3 linked regions of the Macaca mulatta genome follow. The protein of the gene in region 3 interacts with the protein of the main gene of each other region in a pairwise test. Links are inferred from orthologs where the notes say so. Each region holds a gene or a part of one and is shown on either strand. Other genes may lie near its edges.

Region 1 (3,650 bases), on a different chromosome or scaffold from region 3:
TCAGGTATGGTGGCACACACCTGTAGTCCCAGCTACCTGGGAGGTTGAGGTAGGAGAATCGCTTGAACCTGGGAGGGGAGGTTAGAGTGAGCCAAGATGGCATCACTGCACTCAAGCCTGGGCAACAGAGCAAGACTCTATCTCAGGAAAAAAAACAAAGAACAGAAAACATGTCCATTAGTTTAAAAAATAAACATGACGCCGGGTGTGGTAGCTCATGCCTGTAATTCTAGCACTTTGGAAAGCCGAGGCAGGTGATCACCTGAGGTCAGGTGTCCGAGATCAGCCTGGCCAACATGGTGAAACCCTGTCTCTACTAAAAATACAAAACATTAGCCAGGAGTGGTGCTGGGTGCCTGTAATCCCAGCTACTTGGTAGACTGAGGCAGAAGAATTGCTTGAACCTGGGAGGCAGATGTTGCAATGAGCTGAGATCGTGCCATTGCACATTCCAGCCTGGGAAATGAGCGCAAAACTCTGTCTCAGAAAAAAACAAAAAAAACCATGAATTTTAATGAGACCCAATTCTTCACCTAACTCCCTTCTCAAATCCTTAAAAATATGCCTATCCCTTGATCTAATAACTCTTAATTAGGAATGTGTTCAAATAACTTCATTCTAATTTTTTAAAAGATGGAAGAACTATGGTTTAACAGCAGAGAATTAAGTTTGGAACACTATTCAATCATTTACAGGACCACTGATTTCAAAAAATGATCCTGTTTATATTAGATGAGGAGATTCCTTATTTTCTATTAGTAATATACCAATATGCAAAATTATGTCTGGATGGAAAAACATTATATATTACGCTGCTAAGATCTATTTCTGAGTGATAGGATCATATATAACCTAACTAAGAATGGTTTTTTTTTTGAGATGGAGTCTCGCTCTGTTGCCCAGGCTGGAGTGCAGGGGCCGGATCTCAGCTCACTGCAAGCTCCGCCTCCCGGGTTTATGCCATTCTCCTGCCTCAGCCTCCCCAGTAGCTGGGACTACAGGCGCCCGCCACCTCGCCCGGCTAGTTTTTTCTATTTTTTTTTGTAGAGACGGGGTTTCACCGTGTTAGCCAGGATGGTCTCGATCTCCTGACCTCGTGATCCGCCCGTCTCAGCCTCCCAAAGTGCTGGGATTACAGGCTTGAGCCACCGTGCCCGGCCAAGAATGCTTTTTAAACTATAAAATGTTAATAATAAATCTGCCACAGCATTCAAGACTTCAGAATAAGTAGCTCAGAACTCACCTTTGTCAATATGAACCTCTAGAATCTTCTTCTCTCGAACTATCTTCCTTCCGTTGCAGCTTTTACATCTATCTTTAGGACTGATCCGCTCCCCATGGCCCTGGCACTCCATGCACACAGACTGAATTTGCTGAACCATTCCAGGTCCTATCTGATGAATTCTTATTTGCATTCCAGTACCTCGGCAATTGGGACAGCACTCTACTGCTCCTTTCTTACCTCCTCTACCTAAATGTAAAAAGAAAATTGAATAACGTATGAATTAGTGTATACAGTAGTAAATGTTTTAAGAAGACAATTCCTAAATGCTGTACTTTTAATATTTTCAAAGTCTGATGGAATGCTACCCTCTGAATATGTAACTGATGAAATCATTTTAATTAGTTTTATTCTCATTAGAACATACTTCATTTCCAGTAAATAATTTTACTTATTACAAAAAAGATACCAAGCTAGCTTGATCCCTATATTTAAAATATACACAGAAAATAGTGCTGTTATTTCTTTAGGTGGCAGGTTTTCAGTCGGTTTTCTTTATATCAGCCCTCCCCTCCCCCAAAATCTACGTAGTGTACGTGAGTCAATTTTACGTATCCAGGAAGTCTTAGCTCCATTTTCAGGTGTCATATTAAAGACGTTTAAAAAAACAAAAAACAAAACAAAAAAAACCCGTACCTTCACATTTGTCACAAATCACATTCTTTTGCAGAGCCAGTTTTCTTGTTGCACCATTATATAAGTCTTCTAGGGTTACTGAGAGCTGATGTACAACATTTTTGCCTAAAACAAAGTATTTCTCATTACAAATCTGTTTGATGTTGAATCTTACTTATTCGTGCTAAAGGCACTATAAAGAATGTGAAAGGATAATAAAAAATGAGCCTCACAGGGTACATCTGTTGACTACCTACTATATACACAGAATATCCTCAAACTGTGATGTAATCACAGATGAGAGAAAATCAGGTCAGAAATTAAATATTTGCCTAAGGGCATAGACATGACCATCTTGGAAATATGGTAAGCAGAAACATTAACCTCAAAGTCACCTGAGAAAAACCAACGTTATTTAAAAGGGCACATTTCACAATAATCCAAACATTCATTTCTGTCACAATATATTCTTTGAAGCTTTCACTTCGTACCGTATTGAGCAACGTGACCAATTACTTCATCCAAAAATTCTGTAGCACAGTAAATTCTCATTAACCAAGATTGGCCAGGGAAGTTGATGCATTTATTGAGTTACCACAGAAGAGTATCAATTTCTACTTCTTCCTGATTTAGTAGAAAACAGCCCATTTACTGCTGGGCCAGCACCGGTTGTTTTAAAGGCCAAATTTCTCATACCTTTTATACTAGCATTGCCCAACAGAACTTTCTGCAGTGATAAACGTTTCATATCTGTTCTATCCAACACAGTAGCCACGAATCACATGTGCTTTCTTTAGACTAAGAAACTGTAGTTTTGTTTTTTTCTTAAATTAATGGAGCCACACATGGCCAGTGGCTCCTAAGGAGTGCCTTACTTCACTTAAATCAGAATGGGAAATGGAAGGTCAAGATCTCATAAGGACACGGAGGTTAGAAATATGAAGTCACCTGCTAATAAGTTAGTAAGTTCCTAGCTAGTGATCCTTCCACAAGAACTTATTCACAATATTACTGCATTTCCACCAACTGAAACAAGTTCTCAAACTCGTTTCTGTTCATGCCTAATGAACATTTTTACTTTCTAATCAAGCATGAAATACCATTAATTATGTCCTTCTGCTTATAGCTCCACCTTTAGTTTTGGCACGCTAAAATCTAGCTGCCCTTATTTTGTACAGTGTTGAGAATATAAAGAAGGAAAAATAAAGCTTCTAGAGCTTGGGGAAGCACATTTCCCCAAAAATAACCTCTCAATATGATCTAAAGCCACATAAAATAGCTTGCCAATGTTAACCTGCAGGTCAGTTCTTTGTAAGGTAAATGAAAAACCACCACTACTTTTTTGTGGACAAATTCTACCAATTTACTAAGCAAGTGATTTGGATTATGCACTTTCTTTTTAAGGAGTTTAAATATCTTAGAAGCTCAAAGTGAAACTTAATGGCTTGGCCATTCATTCTAAAACTGGTTCTGCTCATAGCCCTTGTTTGTATTCACTATACTGGTAATAAAGTGAGACTAATTTCTCTTGACTTAAACACTTTATTCCTATGAGCAGTATTTCTAGAGCCCATAGGCCACTTTCCTGATAAATATATTAAATACATAATTTTGACACAATAAAGCTGAAGCAACATTAGATAGGTGGCAGGCAACGAACCAGTTTTCAGCCCTGGCTCTGTTGGTTTGCTATATGAGCTTGAAGACGTTTTATGTTTCTGAACTTTAACTTACTCTCATTTGAAAAAGGCCA
Region 2 (3,650 bases), on a different chromosome or scaffold from region 3:
AGATCGCGTCACTGCACTCCAGCCTGGCAACAGAGCAAGACTCCATCTCAAAAAAATAAAAAAAACTGGAGAATTAGTGAAATAAATGTGACCCAGGAAGATACTAATTTCTAGTAAGATAGGAAATCCTGCATATTTTACTAAGAAAGGATTAATCATAATCACATCAATTACAATCAAATAATCATATAGACTCTGTAAGATTATAGAGCACATATTTAAAACACACACCCTAAAACCTACTGAACTGCTTTTTCCTAGTTTAGGACTTACAGCATTTGCATTTTAAACAAGCTTCCCACGTATTTCTAATATGTATCCGTTAGTCTTGAGTTTGAGAACCAGAGACCAATATACTCCCTTAACCTTTCTGGATGAAATTCAGGCTCAGAGAGATGCAAATGACTTGCCTAGCAAGTTAATGACAGAGTTTTTACTTTTTTTTTTTTTTTCAACAGAGTCTCGCTCTGTTGCCCAGACCGGAGTGCAGTGGTGCAATCTCAGCTCACTGCAACCTCCACGTCCTGGGTTTAAGCGATTCTCATGTCTCAGCCTCCCAAGTAGCTGGGATTACTGGCGCCCGCCACCAGGCCCAGCTAATTTTTGTATTTTTAGTAGAGACAGGATTTCACCATGTTGGCCAAGCAGGTCTCCAACTCCTGACTTCAGGTGATCCGCCTGCCTCGGCCTCCCAAAGTGCTGGGATTACAGGTGTGAGCCACTGTGCCCGGCCTAATGACAGAGTTTTCTTATTCAATGTGCTTTTGCCCTTTATTATTAAACACTATTTCCTAAGCCTTTCTCTTGATATGTACCTTTCCCACCTCCAATGCCCGTCACTATTTAGGGCCATTTCACACCAGCATTTGGAGCTGACTGGCAAGAGTACCTCTAAGGTTTTGCATTTCTGGAAATCAATGAATGCTTTAAACTAAACATGACACATGATATTCTTAGTTATAAAATCATAGTTGCATTTACTTAGATGAAAAGCAAATTTTGTATCTAATGCCTTATTAGGAAGTCTTACTACACTACTACACCCCAGGGTTAACAGCCTTTTACTTTTCCTAATCCTCTTTTTCAGACTTCACTAGATTTTTAAATGTCTTTGAACCTTTTCCAACGGCAAGAATTGGAAATCTTATAACAAAAATATTTTCAGATAGCTGAATCAGTCATTACCACTTAATGAGGCAGGGCTTGCCAAAAGTCCTAAGAATTACTAAATAGTGTCACAACTGAATATAAATGATCATATTATTATATCTGGAACCATATTAAAATCCCAATTTGAAAGAGCAATAGTCTTATAGGTAAATAAATGGGATTGTCTCTTACACACTGCTTCAAAGAAAAGCAACCCATTATTTTAAACATGAACATCTTCACTAGATTTTTACAAGTCTTTGCAATTATCCCAAAGCAAAACTTGAAAATCTTTATATCCTACAGTTTCTCAACCTTGGCACCACTGACATTTGGATGGAATAATTCTTTGTTGTGGGGGACCATCTGCGCATAGCAGAATATTTAGTACAATAATAGCACCCTTGGCATCTAACTGCTAGATGCCAATAATATCCTTCCTCTTTCAACCAAAATGTCACTGCCAAATGTGGGGGAATGGTGAGGCTGGTGGAGGTCTATGAAAAATATATTCCCCCTACACCCACTGATAACCACTATTGTAACAAAACAGAACAGTTCTATCTTAAATTCTCAGAAGCACAGGGTATACTGATCCAAGTCTCTAAGGGTGCCTTTTAAAAAGAGAAAGGCAGAATAAACAGTGAAACTTTAGAGGAAAGTTAGAAATACATATCCATAATAAATGAAGAATTCTAAGTGTAAATATATAGAAATATATACAGACACACACAAACGTCCATTATGAAAACTTCAACTGTCCAAGTTGCTGTGCTGAAATTTTGCTTAATAAACTACTATCCAAAATGAGTCAATGGCCTCAATGTTACATTGATTATTATCAAACACTCTTTTTTAAAATATAATTTGCTATCAAAGGAGGCATTAGATTAAATTACACCATACATACCTTCAAATTTGGCATTCACCATAACATACAAATGCTCTCCTAGACAGTCACTTCGGTCCCTGGATAATGCATGTAAACTAATAGTGGGGTATTCCAGTGAGAATCCTAATCCAGAACCATCTAACCAAGACAGGCGGCTGAAAAACATGTTTTAAGTAGATTAGTTTTAGAAAGTAAATCCTAATGTAATATCACAAAGTACATAAAAGTTCAGCTTGGACACCTTTATGCATATAAATAAATTCAAGCTTACTTTTTTAGAAATGTTCATAAAATAAGAAAATTCAGGCCAGGCGCGGTGGCTCAAGCCTGTAATCCCAGCACTTTGGGAGGCCAAGACGGGCGGATCACGAGGTTAGGAGATCGAGACCATCCTGGCTAACATGGTGAAACCCCGTCTCTACTAAAAAATACAAAAAACTAGCCGGGCGAGGTGGCCGGCGCCTGTAGTCCCAGCTACTCGGGAGGCTGAGGCAGGAGAATGGTGTGAACCCGGGAGGCAGAGCTTGCAGGAAGCTGAGATCCGGCCACTGCACTCCAGCCTGGGTGACAGAGTGAGACTCCGTCTCAAAAAAAAAAAAAAAAAAAAAAAGAAAATTCAGTAGTGGAAATCGAATTTTCTTTAAGATCAATTCTGTTAAAGTCTCTTTCCCTCTAGCTATAAATTCAAACAGACTTGAAATTCCATTTTCCTCAGTCACATGTATGTTTCTATGACTTTCAAGCTTCTTCTTTTTTGATATGTCTTCAAATACCCTCTTTGCTTTTGCAAATCCTCCCCTCTTCCATGAGGCCTCCCTTCAACTACACCAGTCCATAAAGACCTCTTCTTTTTCTGATTTGCAAATTTTAGTACTTAACTCTGTGGTAGTGAGTCTTATATGTGCCCTTATGGAATATGAGCTATTTGACAGCAGGACTCGTCACATTCCTTTATTTAACATTCTTCAAAACCATTAACAAAGAGCTCAGGAGGTAAGTATGCAATAAATCCTTGGTAATCATTCGTTTCTCCATGAATCCTACACTAAAAGACATAAATGGGTGTCATCACACTCACCGCAACTCAGGGAATATTTATTACCTTGAGAGACAGACTCCCTGAAGCCTCTCATTTATTCAACATCTTTAAGAGAAAGCCACAGAAAAGCTAGGCCTAGTTTTCCCTCAAATGTGGTCAAATGCAAATATTTTATTGGTGTACCAAAGGAAGCACATCACCAAAATCAGTATGTTGAGCTTTCAGTAGAGGCTAACTAATTTTCTGATAATATTTCATCCATCTGTACCACTTAGCAGAAAAAAAGTAAAAAATCCTGAAGAAGCTAAAAAAAAAAATGTTAATGCAATACAGTGGTTGCCTAGGGCTAGAAGGAAATAGGAATGTCTGCTAATGGGTACCAGGTTCTTTTTGGGGTGAAGAAAATATTCTAAAATTGTGGTGATAATTGCACGATACTGTAAACAGACTAAAAACTACTGAATTGTATGTTTAAATGGTTAAACGGTATGTTATATGAATTATTTTTAAAAGTTAATGAAGTAAGACCCATGTATCATTCTATATTCTATACAATTTTAACAAGCCTGG
Region 3 (4,315 bases):
AAAAGAAAAAGAAAAAGAAAAAAGCTGGACATAATCATATTTCTGTTCTGTATCACTTACTAGTTTTGTAGACTTGAACAAGTGGTATAGCTGATCTAAGCCTCAGTTTCCTCATATGTATAACAGCAATAGTACATATTACTAAGGAGTGTTTGAGAAATCAATCAATAAATGTATTCAGAATAGTGCTTAGTCAATAGGTCTTCAGATATTATTTTTCTTTCCTTAAGCACCTATCATACAACTGGCCTATACTAGGTATTAGATACACAGTAGCATATCTAATACGTAGGTTTCACCATGTTGGCCAGGCTGGTCTCAATCTCTTGACCTTGTGATCCACCCACCTCAGCCTCCCAAAGTGCTGGGATTACAGGCATGAGCCACCATGCCCAGCCTATGGCCTGTTCTGTTTTTTTGTTTATTTTTTTGAGATGGAGTCTCGCTCTGGTCGCCCAGGCTGGAGTGCAGTGGTGCCATCTTGGCTCACTGCAAGCTCCACCTCCTGGGTTCATGCCATTCTCCTGCCTCAGCCTCCCAAGTAGCTGGAACTACAGGCGCCCGCCACCACACCAGGCTAATTTTTTGTATTTTTAGTAGAGATGGGGTTTCACCATGTTAGGCAGGATGGTCTCAATCTCCTGACCTCGTGATCCGCCCACCTCGGCCTCCGAAAGTGCTGGGATTACAGGCGTGAGCCACTGCGCCTGGCCTGGCCTGTTCTTTTTTGAGACAGTCTTCCTCTGTCACCCAGGCTGGAGTAAAGTGGTACAATCATGGCTCACTGCAGCCTCGACCTCCTGGGTTCAAGTGATCCTCCCACCTCAGTCTCCCGAATAGCTGGGACTACAGGCATGTAAACCACATCTGGCTAATCTTTTATAGAAATGGTTCTATGTTGCCCAGGCTAGTCTCGACATCCTGGACTCAAGTGATCCTCCTGCCTCAGCCTCCCAAAGTGCTGAGATTACAGGTGTGAGCCACCATGGCCAGCCTAGTACTTACTCTTTATTTATTTTTTTTGAGACAGAGTCTCACTCTGTCACCCAGGCTGGAGTGCAGTGGTGTAATCTCAGCTCACTGCAACCTCTGCCACCCAGGTTCAAGCGATTTTCCTGCCTCAGCCTCCCAAGTAGCTGGGATTACAGGCACCTGCCACCATGCCTGGCTAATTTTTGTATTTTTAGTAGAGACGGGGTTTCACCATCTTGGCCAGACTGGTCTTGAACTCCTGACCTCGTGATTCACCCACCTCGGCCTCCCAAAGTGCTGGGATTACAGGCATGAGCCACACGTCCAGCCCATGAGCCACCACACCTGACCAGTATTTACTCTTTAAACTGTATATTGCTTTGTATTGTTTTCCAATACACAATACAATCCCCAAGCTTATCTGTAAATTTAAGGCACAAGGCATTTATTTATTGTTAAATTTTAAAATTTGTCTTAGAGATGGGGTCTTGCTCTATTGCCCTGGCTAGAGTGCAATGGAGTAATCACTGCTCACTGCAGCCTCAAACTCCTGGGCTCAAGCAATCCTCCCTCCTCAGTCTCCCAAAGTGCTCGGATTACAGGCGTGAGCCACTGCACCCCACCCATTTATTTCTTTTGTTTGTTTGAGACAGAGCCTCGCTCTGTCACCCAGGCTGGAGTGCAGTGGCGTGATCTGGGCTCACTGCAAGCTCTGCCTCCCAGGTTCACGCCATTCTCCTGCCTCAGCCTCCAAAGTAGCTGGGACTACAGGGGCCTGCCACCATGCCTGGCTAATTTTTTGTATTTTTAGTAGAGACAGGGTTTCACCGTGTTAGCCAGGATGGTCTTGATCTCCTGACCTCGTGATCCGCCCACCTCAGCCTCCCAAAGTGCTGAGATTACAGGCGTGAGCCACCGCACCCGGCCATTTATTTCTTCTGTACATATTCCACCTCACCCAGCCCTCAAATATTTCTCAAATTAAAGAGGTTCCAGGGCCCTGGGCACACCCACCCCCAACAGACTTGTTGGAACAGGTACCTACCTCAGGTCATTCTTGAGTTCCACGACCACATCCTTGCCCACAAGGGACTTGAAAAAAGAATAGAAGAGCTATTGGGAGAGAGGGGGAAAACCATCATGTGGGAAGGAACATGGTAGGGAGGAGTGTCCCTTGACAGTATTACCAAATACCGGTATTGTGAACCCCATTGCATCCCTAACAGTTCTCAAAATTTCACAGGAAAGAATAATTGGTTGAGAGGTGAAAGGCTGGAGCCCAAATTATTCTGCACACTGCATTGAGCCCATCACTTAAAGTCCCAGAGAGGCTCTGCCCTGCATACCTCGGCCTCCCCAGTGTGCTCTCTCAATCGACCACCTTTCTCGGGTACCTGCCCACTCCTTTCAATGAATTACAGAAAACATCCCACCCGCACCCTGCCGAAGCTTGCCTGGCAGAGAAGTGCTCTAAGGTCTAACTTTTCCGTCTCCCGCTGTCCCCACTGAATCTCTCTCAGGGTTGGGGTTTTTTTCCTCATCATGGAAAAAAAAAATCCCATTTGCTCTCAGGTGTCTCCTCAACGAACTTGAGGAACAGGACTAACGATGAAGATAAAAACTCCGGACCTAACTCCAGCCTAGGGGGACAAAGGCCAGACCCCCCTGCCCCAACCGTCCGAGATCCCCGAGGGCGACCCCTTTTGACGTCACGGTACCCACCATGGTGCTGGCGCAGCGGGCAGCGGGCCGGAGCGAGAAAAGAGCCGGATGCTGAGACCAGGTCTGGGAGAACCGAAGCGCGAGCCCGCGCGTGGGGCGAGGCGGGACCGCGCAGGCGCAGCGGGAAGGGACGCAGAACCCTCCAAGCGCTGAAGGGTAAAGCGCGGCCGACTTGCGGCTGGGGAGCGCAAGCTGGGTAAAACCGAGGGGAGGAGGAAGCCGGGAAAGGGGCGGGGTTTCCTTCGTTCCGACTTCTTCCAGGGCCGGCCGGCTCCCATTGCGCAGGCGCGGACCCTAGCCTGGGCTGCTAGGCGGGTGGAGGCACTCGGCGTCTGAGCTCAAAAGGTTTTGTTTTCCATAACCCTGCCGTCCACAGCGTGATGTGTTCGTGCCCTCTACACACATCCTATCGAGAATTGTGGGGAGTTTGTGAAGATTATGAAGTGTGCACTTTTCTATATTTGTTAAAGTAAAAACATAAAATTCAAAAAATAAAATTAAAAAATGTTTTTAATCTTAAATTCAGCTGATAAAAAAAAAAAAGGCCGAGGGCGGTGGCTCACGCCTTCAATCCCAGCACTCTGAGAGGCCAAGGTGGATGGATTGTGTGAGGTCAGGAGTTCGAGACCAGGCTAGCCAACATGGTGAAGTCCCGTCTTCACTAAAAATACAAAAAAAATTAGCCAGGCGTGGTCGCGGGCGCCTGTAATCCCAGCTACTCGGGAGGCTGAGGAAGGAGAATTGCGTGAACCCGGGAGGTGGAGGTTGCAGGGAGCCAAGATCATGCCACTGCACTGCAGCCTGGGCGACAGAGCGAGACTCGTCTCAAAAAAAAAAAAAAAATTGGCCGGGCGCGGTGGCTCACGCCTGTAATCCCAGCACTTTGGGAGGCCGAGACGGGCGGATCACGAGGTCAGGAGATCGAGACCATCCTGGCTAACACGGTGAAACCCCGTCTCTACTAAAAAATACAAAAAACTAGCCGGGCGAGGTGGCGGGTGCCTGTAGTCCCAGCTACTCGGGAGGCTGAGGCAGGAGAATGGCGTGAACCCGGGAGGCGGAGCTTGCAGTGAGCTGAGATCCGGCCACCGCACTCCAGCCTGGGTGACAGAGAGAGACTCCGTCTTAAAAAAAAAAAAAAAAAAAAAAATTGACCGGGCGCAGTGGCTGACGCCTATAATCCCGCACTTTGGGAGGCCAAGGCAAATGGATCACCTGAGGTCAGGAGTTCTAGACCAGCCTGGCCAACATGGCGAAATCCTGTCTCTACTAAAAACCCAAAAATTAGCCAGGTGTGGTGGCACGCGCCTGTAAACCCGGGAGGTATAAGTTGCAGTGAGTGGAGATCGTGCCATTGTACTCCAGCCTGGGCAACAACAGTGAAACTCTTGTCTCAAAACAACAACAACAACAAAATGTTGAGGCTTGTAAATCCCAGCATTTTGGGAGGCTGAGGCAGGAGGATCATTTGAACCCAAGAGTTACAGTGAGCTACGATCTCCCCACTGCATTCCAGCCTGGGCAAGACTCTGTCTATAAAAAAGAAAATTATAAAAAACAAAAAAATGTTGAGGAGTCCCAGAGATAAGGAGCTGGAGCACAAATTTTGGTTTTATCAAAG

Evidence for each region.
Region 1: the proteins of LSM2 (region 3) and DNAJA1 interact in a two-hybrid assay, tested with the Homo sapiens proteins (2 studies listed by BioGRID and IntAct). The link is inferred for Macaca mulatta from reciprocal best matches to the Homo sapiens genes LSM2 and DNAJA1.
Region 2: the proteins of LSM2 (region 3) and CLNS1A interact in binary tests that used the Homo sapiens proteins (3 or more experiments, as listed by UniProt). The link is inferred for Macaca mulatta from reciprocal best matches to the Homo sapiens genes LSM2 and CLNS1A.

Annotation. Positions count from the first base shown.
Region 1 is NC_133420.1:66,342,971-66,346,620, forward strand, and holds part of DNAJA1 (dnaJ homolog subfamily A member 1), read right to left. Parts: intron 2,052-3,650; coding exon 1,919-2,051; coding exon of another isoform or gene 1,913-1,918; intron 1,472-1,912; coding exon 1,244-1,471; intron 1-1,243.
Region 2 is NC_133419.1:78,053,869-78,057,518, forward strand, and holds part of CLNS1A (methylosome subunit pICln), read right to left. Parts: intron 2,197-3,650; coding exon 2,060-2,196; intron 1-2,059. UniProt on the Homo sapiens protein: Involved in both the assembly of spliceosomal snRNPs and the methylation of Sm proteins.
Region 3 is NC_133409.1:150,509,257-150,513,571, reverse strand, and holds the start of LSM2 (U6 snRNA-associated Sm-like protein LSm2), read right to left. Parts: upstream 2,908-4,315; 5' UTR 2,698-2,907; coding exon 2,695-2,697; intron 2,086-2,694; coding exon 2,018-2,085; intron 1-2,017. UniProt on the Homo sapiens protein: Plays a role in pre-mRNA splicing as component of the U4/U6-U5 tri-snRNP complex that is involved in spliceosome assembly, and as component of the precatalytic spliceosome (spliceosome B complex).